Schizosaccharomyces pombe: one gene and its partners. The gene in region 2 interacts genetically with the main gene of each other region. Each region holds a gene or a part of one and is shown on either strand. Other genes may lie near its edges.

Region 1 (7,004 bases), on a different chromosome or scaffold from region 2:
CATTAGAAATGCACTTTCCCTTTATCTCCGTTGTAAAATTGCTTGTCTGGCTAATATCATCTGCAGAGGCTGCCATGCGACGATTTGGCATAGGACTCTGTATTTCATGTAAAGGGAAAGAAGGGGAAATCGGAGATGGTGAAGGCGGTGCCATGGACTTTGGACGACCGCTAGTTTGAATTACCTGGGAACGATGCATCTCTCTGCCCTTGTCACGTCTGGTTGTACTCCATTTTGTTTTTTCAAGTTTTAAATTGAGTTGCTGAAGATTCGGAAGAACACTATTCATCAAATTACTAAAAAGTGCAATATGGTCATATTGGCGATGAAAGTACTGCAAAAAAATACCGTTAATATCATTAATAATGGAACCATCGTGAAGGTCTTGCATAAAACAATAGTAATCATATCGTTGTAAGGCAAACGTTTTCTCTTTTTGAAAAAATTTAGAGTCTCCTCCCTTTTTGTCCTTTTTAGCTGATAGATAACGCGACAAAGATCCATAAAAGCTTTTGCTTTGTTCATCAAATTCAAGTCGTCTATCATCAATTGGCTTAATGAAGCTTGAGTAAATGTTATGAAATGGCTCATATAAAAGATTAATTAAATCATAATTAAGTTTTTGTATAAAGGTGGCATGAATGTCCATAGCCTTGGTTAAATAACTGTCCAGAAGTATGTCCATATTCATACTGGTGCTATTAGAAGCTTCCGAAAGTGTCTCTGACAATTTCATAACAGCAACTTGCGATGCATCGTATGCATCACTTAATTGGACAATACGTTTCATTATTTTTTTGCAATAATACTTCATAAGAGATGATTTTTGCTCAAGCTCATGCAACATAGATCGGAATGACGGTCCATCCTCATAATTCTCTGGGAATATAACGGTCTTGGTATTAATCAATGAAAGCTCCGTCTTCGCTTCCGGAGATTGAGGAGGTTGGGTTTGTACCGTCTGGCTAGTAGTTAGCGGCGACGTGACACGCTGGCTTTCCGAAAAAAATGTATCATCCATAGAATCACCGCAACGAGATACGGTGTAGTAGCTAAATTTTGAGATACGTTCAAGAGTACAGTCTTCAGTAGAGTAAACGGCTATGCAAGAATAGTTTTTGCATTCATACTCCAGAAGTTTACCCGAAGGAGGTGACCACTCCCAATGATATCTGATATTGGCCGCATTTGAATCTGGTAAAAAAATTTCATGTACATTATCCGAAGAAATTAAGTCTGCATATTTCAACTTCTGAGCAAAAAAAGAATCAAACGATTGAAGCGATTCGCAATGGATGAGTACAAGTACTTTCCTCTCCTTCTGCAACTGGAGAACACGATCACTGAATAAAAAGTAGAAGTCTAGCTTGTTTTGAAAACTAAACTTAGGGAGGCACTCTTTTGATGTAGAATCCTAATTTTTACAAAGTTAGTAAAATCGTATATGGAAATAAGAACATCTTCGAGCAACACGAATGCACAATGGGCTTGCTCCAGTTGCTCCTTTTGGATAAAATCATAGACTATATCTGTTTGTCTTGTAGTTATTGTCATTCATTAGTCTGTGTTATCCAGTTCAAAAGAATGGACTTATAAATAGATGTAAGAGTGATAACTATTTTTTGACAAAAGAATCGACACTATTAAATGTGTCTATTTTAATATTTTACTCAATGTTCAGATACTCTTAGCTTTTATATCATACCAAAACCATGTCCACCAATTTTCCTGATGAGCTAGATATTGACTCTAGAAACCCATCTTCTCGGGCGCGGAATGAAATGGTAGAGCCATTGTCTAATTTGGAAACATCAACAGATTTCAATAAAGCTAAACGTTAGTAACGAAAGTAAAAATATTAAACATACAGTCACTTCCGTCCATTGCCGGGTCAAAGGGCTATTAGTATAAATTCGGTATGAGAACCGGCAGCAAAGCTTGAAGGAGTCTCAATCAAAAATTTGAGGGTTCTCAATACGAAGCTGCTTGTTCTCTTCGTCAAATGGTAAAGATGGATGTTGTGCGGACGACAGGTTTTTTCTTGCGGTCAGAGCCCACAACTTGCCGTATCACCACTTTCGCATATTCTGCCGAAATCATTTATTTTCATGCAGAAACTACGTTTCTATTTGAAAAAATAATGAAAGAAGGAAATGAATTGGAGAAGTATTCAAAAATTGAGCTGAATTCAGAGATTTGGGAAGATGAAGAAGAAGAGGATAATTCTGGGATTGTATCTCAAAATGAGAGATTAATGAAGCTAGTGAATAAGCAAAGAGAAATTATATACGAGCTGCATAAGGACTTGGAAAAAGTAAAAAAGGATAATACTTCATTACGCATGCGACTGAGTAAATATGAGTCTACAGACTCATTTCCTTCTAGTCAACCGTCCAGAGCTAATTCTCCTCAATCGGACTCTTATAGCTCTCCATATGAGAAGGGGAAATTATTTCCCAAGATTTCTTTGAAAAGTTCCAAAGACGTACCTACTGCTTCTGCTCACATTAGCTCTTCAGACCATGAAAAATCTAGTTCTGTTTCGTTATCTGCTTTAAATAATTATAATAAAACTACCGATATCAAGGCCAGGTCGTTAGACAGATTGTCGGATATGACCAGACCAAAACTTTTATTGAATACGAAACGCTCGCACCGTTCATCTGAAGAACCAGGTGCATCTTCACCAGTGACATCTCCAATATTAAAAGACAGCCAAAAGGAACGGATACAGGCCCTCCGAAATAAAGCAATCAAGACTTATTCGGTATCAACTGAGTCAGCTGAACGAATTGATTCTATCCGTTCTGACAATTTATCACCTTTGTCATTAAATACATCTTCTTTTCGTAGGCCAATTACAAAGCCAACTCCATTTAACTCGGACAGTAATATTTCTATTGATCCTAAAGATAACAATTCAAACAAACAAGACCATTTTGCTGAAATTGAGGACGAACTTCGTCAACAATTCTTGGACATAAAAGTTGGAAGAGCTAATGCATCATCGCCTAGGAGAAAAAGTATATCTATTGTAAAACCGCATGGTATATCTTCCCCAAAGCATTCTACTAATAATTTAAGCTCGAAGTCAGGTAAATTCCATTCTGATTTTCGAGTTGTTTCCGAAAATGTTCTTTTACAAGCTCGAAGTGAAACGAATTCTCCCATTATTGAAAATAAGGAAGCAAATAATTTCTTGGCTCCAACCTCAAATGTTCCAGCATATTCAACCCCTGCGCGTCCTACTGAGAGTCCTCCACCTCCGCCAATTTCTTCGTCTTCTACCACACCTAGGCCTGATGACAAACCTAGCCTACCTCCTCGTGGACTTTCAGAAGATAACGATTCTTTGTCTCTTCAAAAGACTGGCTCATCCGATACAAGAAGGTCCTCATTTTCTACCTTGAAAATACCTGATAGTGACATATGTTTTACACGTCGCCGGTCGGATTCCAACAGAACTTGGACGGTCATCGATCCTCATCATTCACAATCTTTTGATAATGACATTCTAGCAGAAATACCAACATCGAAACTTGATAATTCTAGCCAAAAATCTCCAGGAAAATTGTCTTCTAAAGGGTTACTCAACAGCTTCTCACCGATTTCGCCATTTAGCAAGTCGAAATCTCATAACCATCATCCATCAAGTCAAGTTGAAAAATCCACGTCGAATTCCAAAGGTTCTATGTTACCTTTGGATACTTTGTACAACAATAAGTTGAGCTTTAGGTTGGATGAATCATTAGTCCGTTATCTTCGTTTCGAGCTTATGAAAACCAGTTTGGCTTCTTTATCTCCAGATTTTGATTGCATAGGGTTGCAATTCGTGGTCGGTGTCTCTGCGAGTTCACATTTAGCTTCACAATGGAAAGATGAAGTATGGAGTTTCACAAGGAGCATCGGAGAATGTCGTTCCTTTGCTACTTCTTTCGTCTTAGACATCGGCGCACCTCCTTTCCCTACTCTTGATTGGTTTACAAATGACTCTTCAGTAATTCAAAACGAATTGTTACGCCGTTCTGTCGATACCTATTTTCGTTATATATTTCAAACTGATCTTAAGTTGGAACAGAGGATCAAGTTACTAGAATTTTTGTCAAGTGACACTTTACGAGAATACCTTCATGATGTATTCTTTCTTCCTCCTGAGCATGCTCAAAAGGAGGGGGTACTTTTGAAATACATTGAAAACAGTGGTTTAGTTTCACGTTATTTTTATTTAAAGGACAATATTTTATATTTCGCTGAAAATCGAAATTCTCCAGTACTTGGTACAATCCATTTAAAAGATGCGCAGGTGAATCGCTATAATGCCAATTTACCTATATTTTCTATCATTGATCCTCCTCATGAATTTTTAACTGGTGAAAATTATCAATCCGCTTTTGTAATTCAGGAAAAACAAACGGAAACGCGAACGGGAACTGCAACTGTTCACGTTCTTTTAGCAAGAGATGTTGAAGATCAGAAGAGTTGGCTGCGAGCCATACTTCGACAGGTTCCTGGCTCTACTTCTCCTCTCAATGCTAGTCCCTTCTCTGTATTATCTTCTGATTTTCCTGGATCTTCTCGTTATCGTGATCAATCTTCTCCTATCCGTTTTTATGGAAAAGCAGACTCAAGACCTGTAAGTCAAGAAGCAATTTTAAGTCAGGATATATCCAGCTCTCCATCTCCCGTTTTACCACCGTCAGAAAATGTTGCTTCTTATGCCGATGATTCTTTGGTTTCAAATTTAACCATGAGTCCTAAATTAAGGGATTCAATGGAGCAGGTGCCTTTAGAAAATCATAGAGAGTTTGAGATTAGTGATCGTGTTTCTGAGTTGTCATTCGACAGTAGTACGGGAAGTGTTTTAGAGATTGCTGACACTAGACGAAACCAAGATGCTCCTGAAAAGCACGTCCCCGTGATAGAAATCCAGTCTTCTAGACCTTCGCTGGAGAAGACTGACCAATCTACTCCTGTAGAGTTATTGATCGATTCTCATTCTCAGAATTCGCAAAATGAAGAAAAGAGATCGAGAATGAAATTTTGGGCGTTTCCGCATCATAAGGCCGAAAATTACGAACAAATATCTGATACGAATATACCTGTGATCGAAACAAATGTAATGCTTTCACCAAGTTCGACAACAAGTGCTGAGCCATTACAGAAACATATTGTCCGTAAGTCTGGAATATTCGGTCTTCCTCTTAATGAAGCGGTGAATATTTCTACTCAATTCAATGACAGCGGTTTGCCAATTGTTGTCTACAGATGCATTGAATACTTGGAATCATGCCGAGCCGAGAAAGAGGAAGGTATTTATCGGTTAAGTGGTTCTGCCTCGACAATTAAACATCTTAAGGAACAATTTAATGAAGGAGTAGATTACGACTTGCTTTCGTCAGACGAGGAATTCGACGTGCATGTAATTGCTGGACTTTTAAAGTTGTATTTGAGAAATTTACCTACCAACCTCTTAGACACTTCTATGCATAAATTATTCGAACTGTTACCTAATGTTCCTAACGATTCTGCGGCCCTTGGAGAACTTTGCGATGTTATTAGCAAACTCCCTCCTGAAAATTTTGCCCTTTTGGATTCCCTGTTACATCATTTGCGTAGGATTATTGCTTTTGAAAAAGTTAACAAAATGAACATTAGGAACGTTTGTATAGTGTTTTCTCCTACTTTAAATATCCCTTCGGATATATTTATGATGCTTATCCTTAACTATGATCATATCTTCACAGATATTTCACGACAAACGAACGGAGCACAAAACGAAAGCGACTCTGATGTTAGTGATGACAATGGGGAGGATAACGAATTTTTCTAGGAATTTAACGTCTACAAATTGTCAACGCTTGAGACGGTTAGTTTACTTAAACTTTCAATGGTTGTACGTGTTTTACTATCCCTTTGTCTTTCGTCTTCCTGTTCATTCCTTTATTGAATTATTTCTTGTTTTAATGCTTAGAGACACAGGGATTCTCCAAATATTCGTATGTACGGCAGTCGTCTTAGTACGATGTCGTTAATTTACTCTTTCTTTTAAAAGTTTTAATACTCTATAACTATTTTAGCCCTTCGTTTGTTCATTCTTTTCTAGTTCTTCTTATAACTAATTTTGGGCAGGTTTTTTATGATTGTATATTCAATTTATGTTGGAAGCTCGGGTTTTTTCTTTATAATCTTCTTTTATTTTTATTCTTCTTTGATTAGTATAATGAATTGTCGTTCTATTCTTGCTATTGAGCGGTGATAAATGAGCAATATTATATGTTATTTTAAGTAAAATTGCTAACATTAAATATCATAAACTAATCTAGTAAGGGTCATATAGACATAGCTAAGTAAAACGTATATATTCACTCTTAGCTGAATATCATTTTTTTAAAGGAATGCTTTCGTACAGTTTTGTTTGATATTCGAACTACCAAACAAAAAAGATAACACTGTTTTGTAGATGATACCAAACTGACGACAGCAGACCATTTATGGATAATTTATGCCTGTATCACCTAATCCATAACAGCATTGGTAAACAGAGTTCACGATAGTCGCATAAGCATTCTCGCTGAGACTCTCATAAAACCTCGGATTAGAAAATGAAAGTTGGAAAAACTAATTTATACAAATACACAAAAGCAAAGCGCCTACTATGATGTTATCGAATGAGAATAGTACCGATGAGGTTCAAGTCAACCGATTCGTAAAAGCAGACTATAAAGCTTTTTAAATAACCAAAAACGCACTAAAACAAAAATCAGATGTTGATCGTGCTATTAATGAACGAATAGTGGATGCTCTGTGGTGAAAGAAAACGAATCAAACGGAACCATCCTAAACAGGACGAAAACCCGGGGGAGGGGCACCACGTCCAAAACCAGCAGGTGGTGGAGGAGCAGTATATCCAACTCCTCGCACAGGTCCTGCCAAACCAACGGGCGCTTGACCAAGAGGAATACCACGACCAGCAGGTCTGGCGACACCCGGCCCACTCAATAAAC
Region 2 (3,910 bases):
CACTATCACGATAGTTGTAACCTTCGCTTCCAGTGTTTACTCCACTGGTACAGTTGAAATATCGGAAGATTTGGATCTTCTATTTTAGTTACCACTCTGCGAACGTGCACATTCTTGGTCGGTTTCGGTGTAGGCTCTATTCCATTTGCTCCACTAAGCAGTATATACGGAAGACTTATTGTATACATTGGAACTCTGCTTGTCTTCATTATTTTTCAAATCGGTAGTGGTTGCGCTAGCAATGTTTGGTCATTAGTCATATTCAGGTTTCTTCAGGGTTTTTTTGGAAGTACGCCTCTAGCAAATTGCGGAGGAACAATTAGTGATATATTCACACCGATCCAACGTACTTATGTTCTTCCCGCACTATGCACCTTTCCATATTTAGGTCCCATAATTGGACCAATTATTGGCAATTTTATTTCGCAGAGCTATTTAGGATGGAGATGGACATTTTGGATCAACATGATTTGGGCTGCTACTATTCTTGTGGTTGTGTTCCTCGCATTTCCAGTACCTCACGAAGATACCATCCTTGACTATAAAGCAAAACACTTACGTAAAACAACCGGTAATTCTGCATGGTACACAGTTCACAAACGCGAACGTGATCCAAAAAATGCAATTGTTCAAGCTGCTACTCAGGCGGTTTCCCTGATTTTCACAGAACCTATTGTGGTGTGTTTTACATTATATTTAACTGTAATTTATGTTATCAGTTACATAAATTTTGAGGGATATCCTATCGTATATGCCAAATACGACTTCAATCAATGAGAACAAGGATTATCATTTATTGGTGTTGGGGTAGGACTGGCTGTTGCTGGCTCCTGTACCCCATTGGTTTACTGGCATTATTTAACAACTACTAAGAAAAGAAACGGTCTGACGTGTCCGGAAGACAGGCTTTATCCTTTATTTATTGCATGTTTTTTATTCCCCATTTCTATGTTTTGGTTCGCTTGGACTTGCTATCCCAATCGTATCCACTGGATAGTACGGATCATATCTAGTGCTTTTTTTGGGTTCTCTCTATTGGTTATATTTTATGTTTGTTATAATTACATTATTGATTCCTATCAGCATATGGCGCCAAGTGCATTGGCTGCATCGACCTTAATTCGGTATAGTGTGAGCGGTGGCATAACTTTAGTTGCACGCCCTATGTATTTAAATCTAGGCGACCACTGGGCTACAAACGTGCTTGGATTTATCTCGATAGCTATGATACCTATTCCTTTCATCTTTTTTTCGTTTTGGTAAAAAAATCCGTGCGTTTAGTAAAAACGCTTATAAATTTTAAAGACTTAGTTATTAGCTTGAATTTGAAATTTTGATTTGAGAAAAAGTTTGATATCAGTTTAAGAATGTTAACTATTGGAAACATATGTTTTCTTAAGCCATTTATTTGCAATCTAAATTAATAACAATAAGTAAAATGTCTACATTATTATTACTTAACCATTTTACTAAACATACATAAGAGCACATTTATTAAGTATTTGAAAAATACCCATCATTAAATACATTGTTACTTTCGTTAAAGTTTGGTTAGTCGTCATTACTAATATGAAGTAACTTCAACGACAACTACATGCATCTTAGTAAGGCTTCTTTTTTATTTGATTGTAGCAGATTTATCCTAAATTTTCATGTGTAGGTAGGAATTCCTTGAAAAAATTTATATTAAAAGGAGCGATGTTTAAAAAATGGCGTTCGTACAAAAAAGGCCTGCGTAATATGTCGCTCTAAAAAGCAAAAATGTGATGGGCAACTCCCTTGCCTATATTGTAAAAAATATGAGTACCAATGTGCTTATGAGGGCCAAGCGACTTCTACCTGTAATTCCGAGGCATCCTTGTTCAATGATGCGAACTTTAAAATCGGAAGTGATTACAGGTCTAAAAGAATAAAGGTTGTTTCGGATACTAACAATAATAAAGAAGATGGTGACGGGAAGTTGAGTTTTACACAATGCAATCCAAGAATGGATATTCATCATGAAGCTGAGAACTTTACAGCTATGGTTCCTTACTATGAACCCAAGAAATTTCGATTTTTTTATGAAAATAGCGCCATAGTATTTCCTCGGATAGTAGGAGAAGGACCAAAAATGAACTACCTTTCTCGTTTGCATTCATTTGCATGAAATGCGGGAATACGCAGTGAAAAAAAAAACCATGTGTTTCCAAAGTTGACGGAACTAATAACTAAAGAAAAATACTTAAAGTACGTATTTATATATTTTGAAGAAGTTCATCCCATATTTAGCATGTTTGATCAAAAAGCCATGGAGAAAAAGATCCAATTCTTATGGGACAACAAATCAACTGATAGCTGCTCTGAGTACGTCGTGATTTCAGTAAGTATACTAGGATTTTTTTTTCGTCCGATTCGGACAAGTCTTTAGAGGGTAAACTAGTAGAGCATATAACGCAAGTTTTGGAGAGTTCACTGTCGACCACAATTTTATCATCGATTCAACTTACAGTTTGTTGGGTTTTAAGAACAATTTACTTACATGCTACTACTCGTCCTCACCTCTCCTGGATTGCTTCTTCTGTCTCCATGCACTATGCAGAAATTGTAGGACTTCATCAGGAGATAAGTAAAATACGGGTAGAGAATGACAAGGATGGTGAAGAAAACAACGATTAGATTTTTTTGTCAAGAGAAAAAAATTTTTGGATTGCTAGATCCTTAAATTGGATTTTAGCAGCTGAATACGGAACGAGGGGAATAGAGTTAACGAACATAACAACCCAAATGGTTGAAGAGGATGGACCTGCTTATCAGCTTGTATTGTTATTTAAAATCATAATGGAGTACCAGATAATATCAGAAGATTCAAGATTTGTATATTTACAAGCATTCCAAAGACTGGACCAGCTTTGTGACATTCATTCACCAGCACTTGTATTGCTAAAAGCAACGGTATGTTTTCACTTGTACCGAAACTTATTTCTTGCAAGAATTAAACCTTTTTGTGTAATTGTATCCATCCTTTTCTCTGTTATCGACAGAGCTCTTGAAAGCTGCAAGCAGTTAGTTTCTCAAAGGAAAGCGTGGTAGGGGATCGTGGATGTTCCCTTTCATGCTATTTGCGTATTGCTATCCATAGATACTATCGAATCTATGAGTATTTAGGAAAATCTTTAAGAGTATTACAGGAAATTGCCGATACTTTTCATAGTCATATGACTCAAGAGGCCCTTCTCACTGCTTGTGGTTTGTGTGAAGGCATGAGGAATAAAAAACTTAAAGAAATAAATATACTCGAAACTGAATATTTAAGTGATGTGAAGGTTTTAAGAGATAATGAATTTGAAGATCATAATTACATAAATTTCAGTTTTAACGATATATTCCTTGATATGTTTGATTTTGGTATTGTACGTAAAATTAAAGATAAAAATGCTATTCTTTTTATAATAGCTAACTCTAAAGGAATTGAAAGAGTAATAACTTTAATTAATAATAAATTTAGAACTACTAGTAAATATAATCAGATTATTAATAATATATTTGCTCAACCTAGATTTAAAGAATTTAGTAAAACTATTAATTTAAGTTTAAACACATTCCAACTGAGTGTTTTAAATAACCATTGGCTAGCTGGATTTTCAGATGCTGATGCTAGTTTTCAGATTAAAATTTTAAATAGGGACTAAAAAATAGAAGTTCGATTGAACTATCAAATAGATCAAAAAAAAGAGTATCTTTTAAGTTTAATTAAAGATAATTTAAATAAAATACAGCTAATTTTGGAAAGTGGAAAATAACAATAATATTAAAAATATGCATATCCTTTACAAGTCTATTTGTTATTGATTTCTTTTCACCAAGCGAGGTCCCTTACTAAAGTTTCTTTATGGCAGTACAACTCCCGAAGTTTGCTACTGTTTTTCTT
Region 3 (4,743 bases), on a different chromosome or scaffold from region 2:
TTTCGAGTTACAGAATCCGATAAAAACATTATGAAGTATGGTAAAAGTTGGTGTAATCCGGGGTCGTCACGTAAACTCGATAGGGCAGCATCACGGAGCTCAACATTAGTTTCATCAAGCAATGCACTGGTAATACGCTCAAAATAAAGCTGTAACTCTTTGGATAGCACATGTCGCACCAACGGTTTTATCTCAACGTTGTCCATCGAAGTGACACCGTTTCGAGCTTCTTTAGCAGCAGTTGAAGCACCTGGCATAACCCCTGAAGTACCCTTGGATGCCCATTCTCCAACTGTGTGATCTGAGGGAGTTGGATTTTGAGGAATGGCTGGCTGCACACCTTCGATGGCCAGCCAGTGTGCACTGTAAGAAATGTTTCTAGGGACTTTAGGGAGAGGAGCGTTTATGATTTTTTCAAAATCCACTTCCTCATCATCAAGGTAGTAAAGGGAATTTTGGCCTGCACCTACAGCGGCTTCATGAAATTCTAATGGACGAGAATTATTGAAGCCGTATAACGGCTCAACATTCAACGTCCGTAACGCTGAAGAGATATCTGCGCTAGTTAAAACAGTTCTTTTAGAATGAACCATAAACTTAGTGGCTTCCTAAATCAAATACTGTTAGAGAATTATGTTTAATGTCAGAATAAAGCAGACTATCTAGCAAATTGAAAGGCATCGTAAAAAACTAGCAACAATTTTTTAGTTATTTTAGCCTCTTCCAAAGAAAGTAAAATCTCATAGTCTACTTTCACGAAACCTACCTGAACCACCTGATGAATTCTATATTCGAGATCCATTGCAATAGCTGCTGCTGGTTCATCGGCAAGATTGCCAATCCCAAGCATTTCAGCAACATCTTTGATGGATTCAATATTCCATACTGTCAAGGACATGACTTGGTAGTAAGATGAACGATTTATGGATCAATGAGTGAATTGCATCTGCAGAGAAGTAGTTAACGATGTTAGAAGCAACTGCTTTATTTAACATACTTGTCAGCAATACTACACTACGCTATAATACACTACGTTGCGTATCACTATATGTCACATGTTCTAATTATATATCGTACCATGTATGATACGATATGGAGATTGATCTTAATGATAATCTATTAAGATCTATATTATCTGAATACTATAAATAGAGCTACTGCTGAACCTCGTTCCTCAGTTCAGTTATGAGCTATATTAGTGATAGGTAACATTATAACCCAGTTAATACAATACCTATACTCAGTTGCTACTTATACAACCTGTGTATTGTAATATAATAGATCACAAGGAAAACTCACCGCAGTTCTACGTATCCTTAAATCAGATACCAAACTGCGTAGCTTACAAGACAGTGAGCTACACTAAAATCGCTATTAAACATTACGTTACGCATCAAAATACACTACATGGAATACCAATTAATCTCAATTTGTTGAACAATAGCAGAAGACTATATGTTTGTTTACTAAAACATCCATTGATATTGATATAAAATAGTAGTTAAAATTAGAAGTCTAGATTGAACAGAGCATCATTCTCAGTCCAGTTATTAGCTGTTACAATGATAAATATATTATCACCCACCACTCACAATACTGTATAACGCAATATACTGCTTCTACAAGCTAAATATAATTTAATGTAGCCTTAAAAGGAATTAGAAACTTGAATTGTTGACACTTATCTAGTTGCACCGCAAGTCACCCCGCATTGCTAAACGTATTTAACCATCGTTATTTTTCGCTAGTCGTCGTTGGGCTGCGCATCACCATTTCAGGCACGATTTCAGTGATCAGATCCAAAAACCCAACCGGCCACCATCATGCTTGGGCATAATATATATGAAGAAGACGATGCATTTAATCCATTCGCAGATTCCGTTTCTCCACTGAACCCTCCAAAAACCGACCAAGAGCCCTCAGCTGAAGGAGTGGAAGAAGAGTCGCCGAATGTTCAAGCTTCTCCACCAAAAACTCATATCTATACATCTCCTAGGAAACGAAGCGTCAATTTGAAATCTCTTCCGTTTGAAACGTTAACTTTGGATTCTGCACCTTTAGGTCCCTTGCAATTTTCTGATGCACCTTCTATGGCACCCGAAAACAACCGTTTGGAAGTTGGTTTAAATACAAAAATTAATCCGTTAAAAGGATCTAGTCCCGCTTTGAATGCAGATTTTTCTGCAAATAAGCCTTGGATCTCAGAAGTGAACTCCTTTTCCCCTTCTCCTATCGGAGCAACGGAAAATCCCACTATACCAAATTCAGAACAGACGGTAGATACTTTAGACGCTGCCTCATCTTCTGCTCCAAATTTTACACACACTGTCTCATCTGCCTCCTCCCAGAAGCAAGGTTCAACCTCATTAACAGATACGGAGAATCAGAAGGCGCACCCGGCAGCGGCACCTCAATCTCTTACCCCGTTTTACATCCAAGTTCATGACCCTCATACCGTTAAGGAAATCACTAAATCGCATACCGTATATTCGGTTTCCACTCGTTTAGAGGAACACAATCAACCTTCTGTTAGCAATGTGACTGTACAAAGACGATATAATGATTTTGCTTTTCTTTATCAATTGCTTTCTAATAATCATCCGGGTTGTATCATTCCTCCCATCCCGGAAAAGCAGGTTGTAGGCCGTTTTGATGATGAATTTATTGAACAGCGACGAGCAGCCTTGGAGGTAATGCTTCGCAAAATATCTGCCCATCCGGTTCTACGTGATGATTACTCATTTAAGTTGTTTCTTGAAGCAGAGACATTTGACCCTAGAATGACACATCGTACTACTCTCATTGAGAGTTCATCAAGTCCTTTGCGCTCAGGTCCCTCAACATCTGGTTTACTTGACTCATTCACCTCCGCCTTCCATACCTCTGGATCTTCTAAATTTTCCGAACAGGATCCAATTTTAATTGAAGCAAAGGATACACTTGATTCGTTGGAAACTCAACTAAAGTCGGTTTATCACGCGCTTCTTTTATCCATAGATCAACGCATACAGTTCGCTTCAGCCATCCATGATTTTGGCGAGGCTGTTGGAAATTTATCTTTAGTTGATTTAGAGCCCACCTTATCATCCAAGTTTGATGGTCTTTCCCAACTCCAGGTAGAGCTTCGATTTGTACAAGAACGTAAGGTTGCTCAAGACAATTTGACACTGGGCACTACATTGGAGGAGTACATTCGGTACGTGGAGAGTGCCAAAAATGCCTTTACTACACGTCAAAAGTTGTGGCAGACATGGCAATCTTCAGTTCAAGCTGTTTCTCGTGCTAAAACTCAACTTGAGAAATGTAAAAAGCAAGCGAAATCTCAGCAAAAATCACTCCCTTACTTGGAAGAACAATACGAAAAATATCGAGCAAAAGCTGCTGATCTGGAAAAAGAGTTTTCGGAATCAACAACTCTGTTAAAACGAGATTTGAGTTCTCTCACAACCAGTAGAGTTGATGATCTCAAAGCTAGTGTTGAAACGTGGTTGGAATCTGCAATTGAATCTCAAAAAGAAATTATTGAGCGTTGGGAATCATTTTTGGATCAATAACGACTCTAATTTTCCCTATGCACTCTTTTAATTTTTATGTTTTTCTTTCGTGTAATATTTCTATCCCATATTCGTATTAATGTATTTCCAACTACCGCTTTATTACTTTGCACTTCTCTAGCTGACGATTTCTATTCTATTCTAATTATTTTTTTGCAATTTCCCTTTTCGTCCATGGTACTTCATTACTTGAAAAGAAAATGTACCTTAAAATATTGCATTCTATCTACTAACCTTACAGCAACCCTACACTCCTTTGTAAATAAATAACTTGTGTATGTTTTTAAAAATTGTCTTTGTTACTCAAGCCTTTTTATATTTGTTTATGTTTAAACGCTTTTTCCTGCTTAAATTGTGTTACTTATATGTAAAAGCGTATGCAAAAATTTGTTTAATAATATGGTGTATGACTACTTTATGTTACATATTTATTTGTCTTAATTTAGACTCGTGATTCAAAGCTCTCAAAACGATAGCTCAAAAAAATGTTCATGTAGGAAACGTTTATCATTTTGTATCCTAAGGTTTATTCATATTTTTTAAAAAAAAAAGTGGATTTCGCTTTCATTAATAATCTCGTTATATCAATAGCTAATCACATAATCAAGTGCGAAATGGAAAAGCATTTAATCAATTCAATGCCGGATATCTGACTGTTGAATCGCAATGTCTTCAGCCTTTTTGAGGAAAGGTAAAAGCTTTCCATATTCTTCATAAGTTTGGGCGGATGGTTTATTCATGATTAGTTCAATTTTCTTGGACTCATCCCAAGATTTGTTTACATATTCTTCAAAGGTAAATCCTTTTCCATTCATTGCATATGCAGCCTTGATAGCGCCCTAAATTGATGGTCAGTAACTATTAATTAACAACATTTTCCGTTCACTTACGCCAACAGCACAGGCATTACTACCGCCGTGTTTTAGCCGATAAACATCACATCCCAAAACCTGGCTAATTTTAAACACAATAGCCTCGTTACGACTAGCTCCTCCTACAACATAAACACGATCAGGTTGTGGTATACCAGTTAGCAAAGGAGTAATCCGCATGCGGATATCAAGATTTTGACTTTCAACTATGGCAGAAGCATCCTCATCTGGATAATCCCATGATTCTTCATCTTTATCCACCTGATACAACTCGGTGCCTTGGATTGCAAATCTCCACGTACCCGGTCCAACTGCGG

The links.
Region 1: mutations in SPOM_SPBC1348.12 (region 2) and rga2 together harm fitness more than expected from each alone (negative genetic interaction), as found in Schizosaccharomyces pombe (one large-scale study listed by BioGRID).
Region 3: mutations in SPOM_SPBC1348.12 (region 2) and vps5 together harm fitness more than expected from each alone (negative genetic interaction), as found in Schizosaccharomyces pombe (one large-scale study listed by BioGRID).

What each region holds. Positions count from the first base shown.
Region 1 is NC_003424.3:3,347,395-3,354,398, reverse strand, and holds rga2 (putative Rho-type GTPase-activating protein Rga2), read left to right. Parts: upstream 1-2,140; coding exon 2,141-5,830; 3' UTR 5,831-6,296; downstream 6,297-7,004. Other genes in the region: cnt6 (centaurin ADOP ribosylation factor GTPase-activating protein), read right to left, coding at 1-1,414, 1,706-1,830, 1,869-1,884; Sm snRNP core protein Smb1, read right to left, coding at 6,838-7,004. UniProt on the Schizosaccharomyces pombe protein: GTPase-activating protein for Rho-type proteins.
Region 2 is NC_003423.3:33,518-37,427, forward strand, and holds SPOM_SPBC1348.12 (DNA-binding transcription factor), read left to right. Parts: upstream 1-1,594; coding exon 1,595-1,654; intron 1,655-1,693; coding exon 1,694-2,095; exon of another isoform or gene 2,096-2,130; intron 2,131-2,230; coding exon 2,231-2,366; intron 2,367-2,410; coding exon 2,411-2,608; intron 2,609-2,716; coding exon 2,717-3,072; downstream 3,073-3,910.
Region 3 is NC_003421.2:700,784-705,526, forward strand, and holds vps5 (retromer complex subunit Vps5), read left to right. Parts: upstream 1-1,813; 5' UTR 1,814-1,823; coding exon 1,824-3,554; 3' UTR 3,555-4,035; downstream 4,036-4,743. Other genes in the region: TATA-binding protein-associated factor TAF6, read right to left, coding at 1-608, 767-898; xks1 (xylulose kinase), read right to left, coding at 4,190-4,393, 4,445-4,743. UniProt on the Schizosaccharomyces pombe protein: Required for efficient sporulation target of PtdIns(3)P in vesicle transport required for onset of the forespore membrane formation. Plays a role in vesicular protein sorting.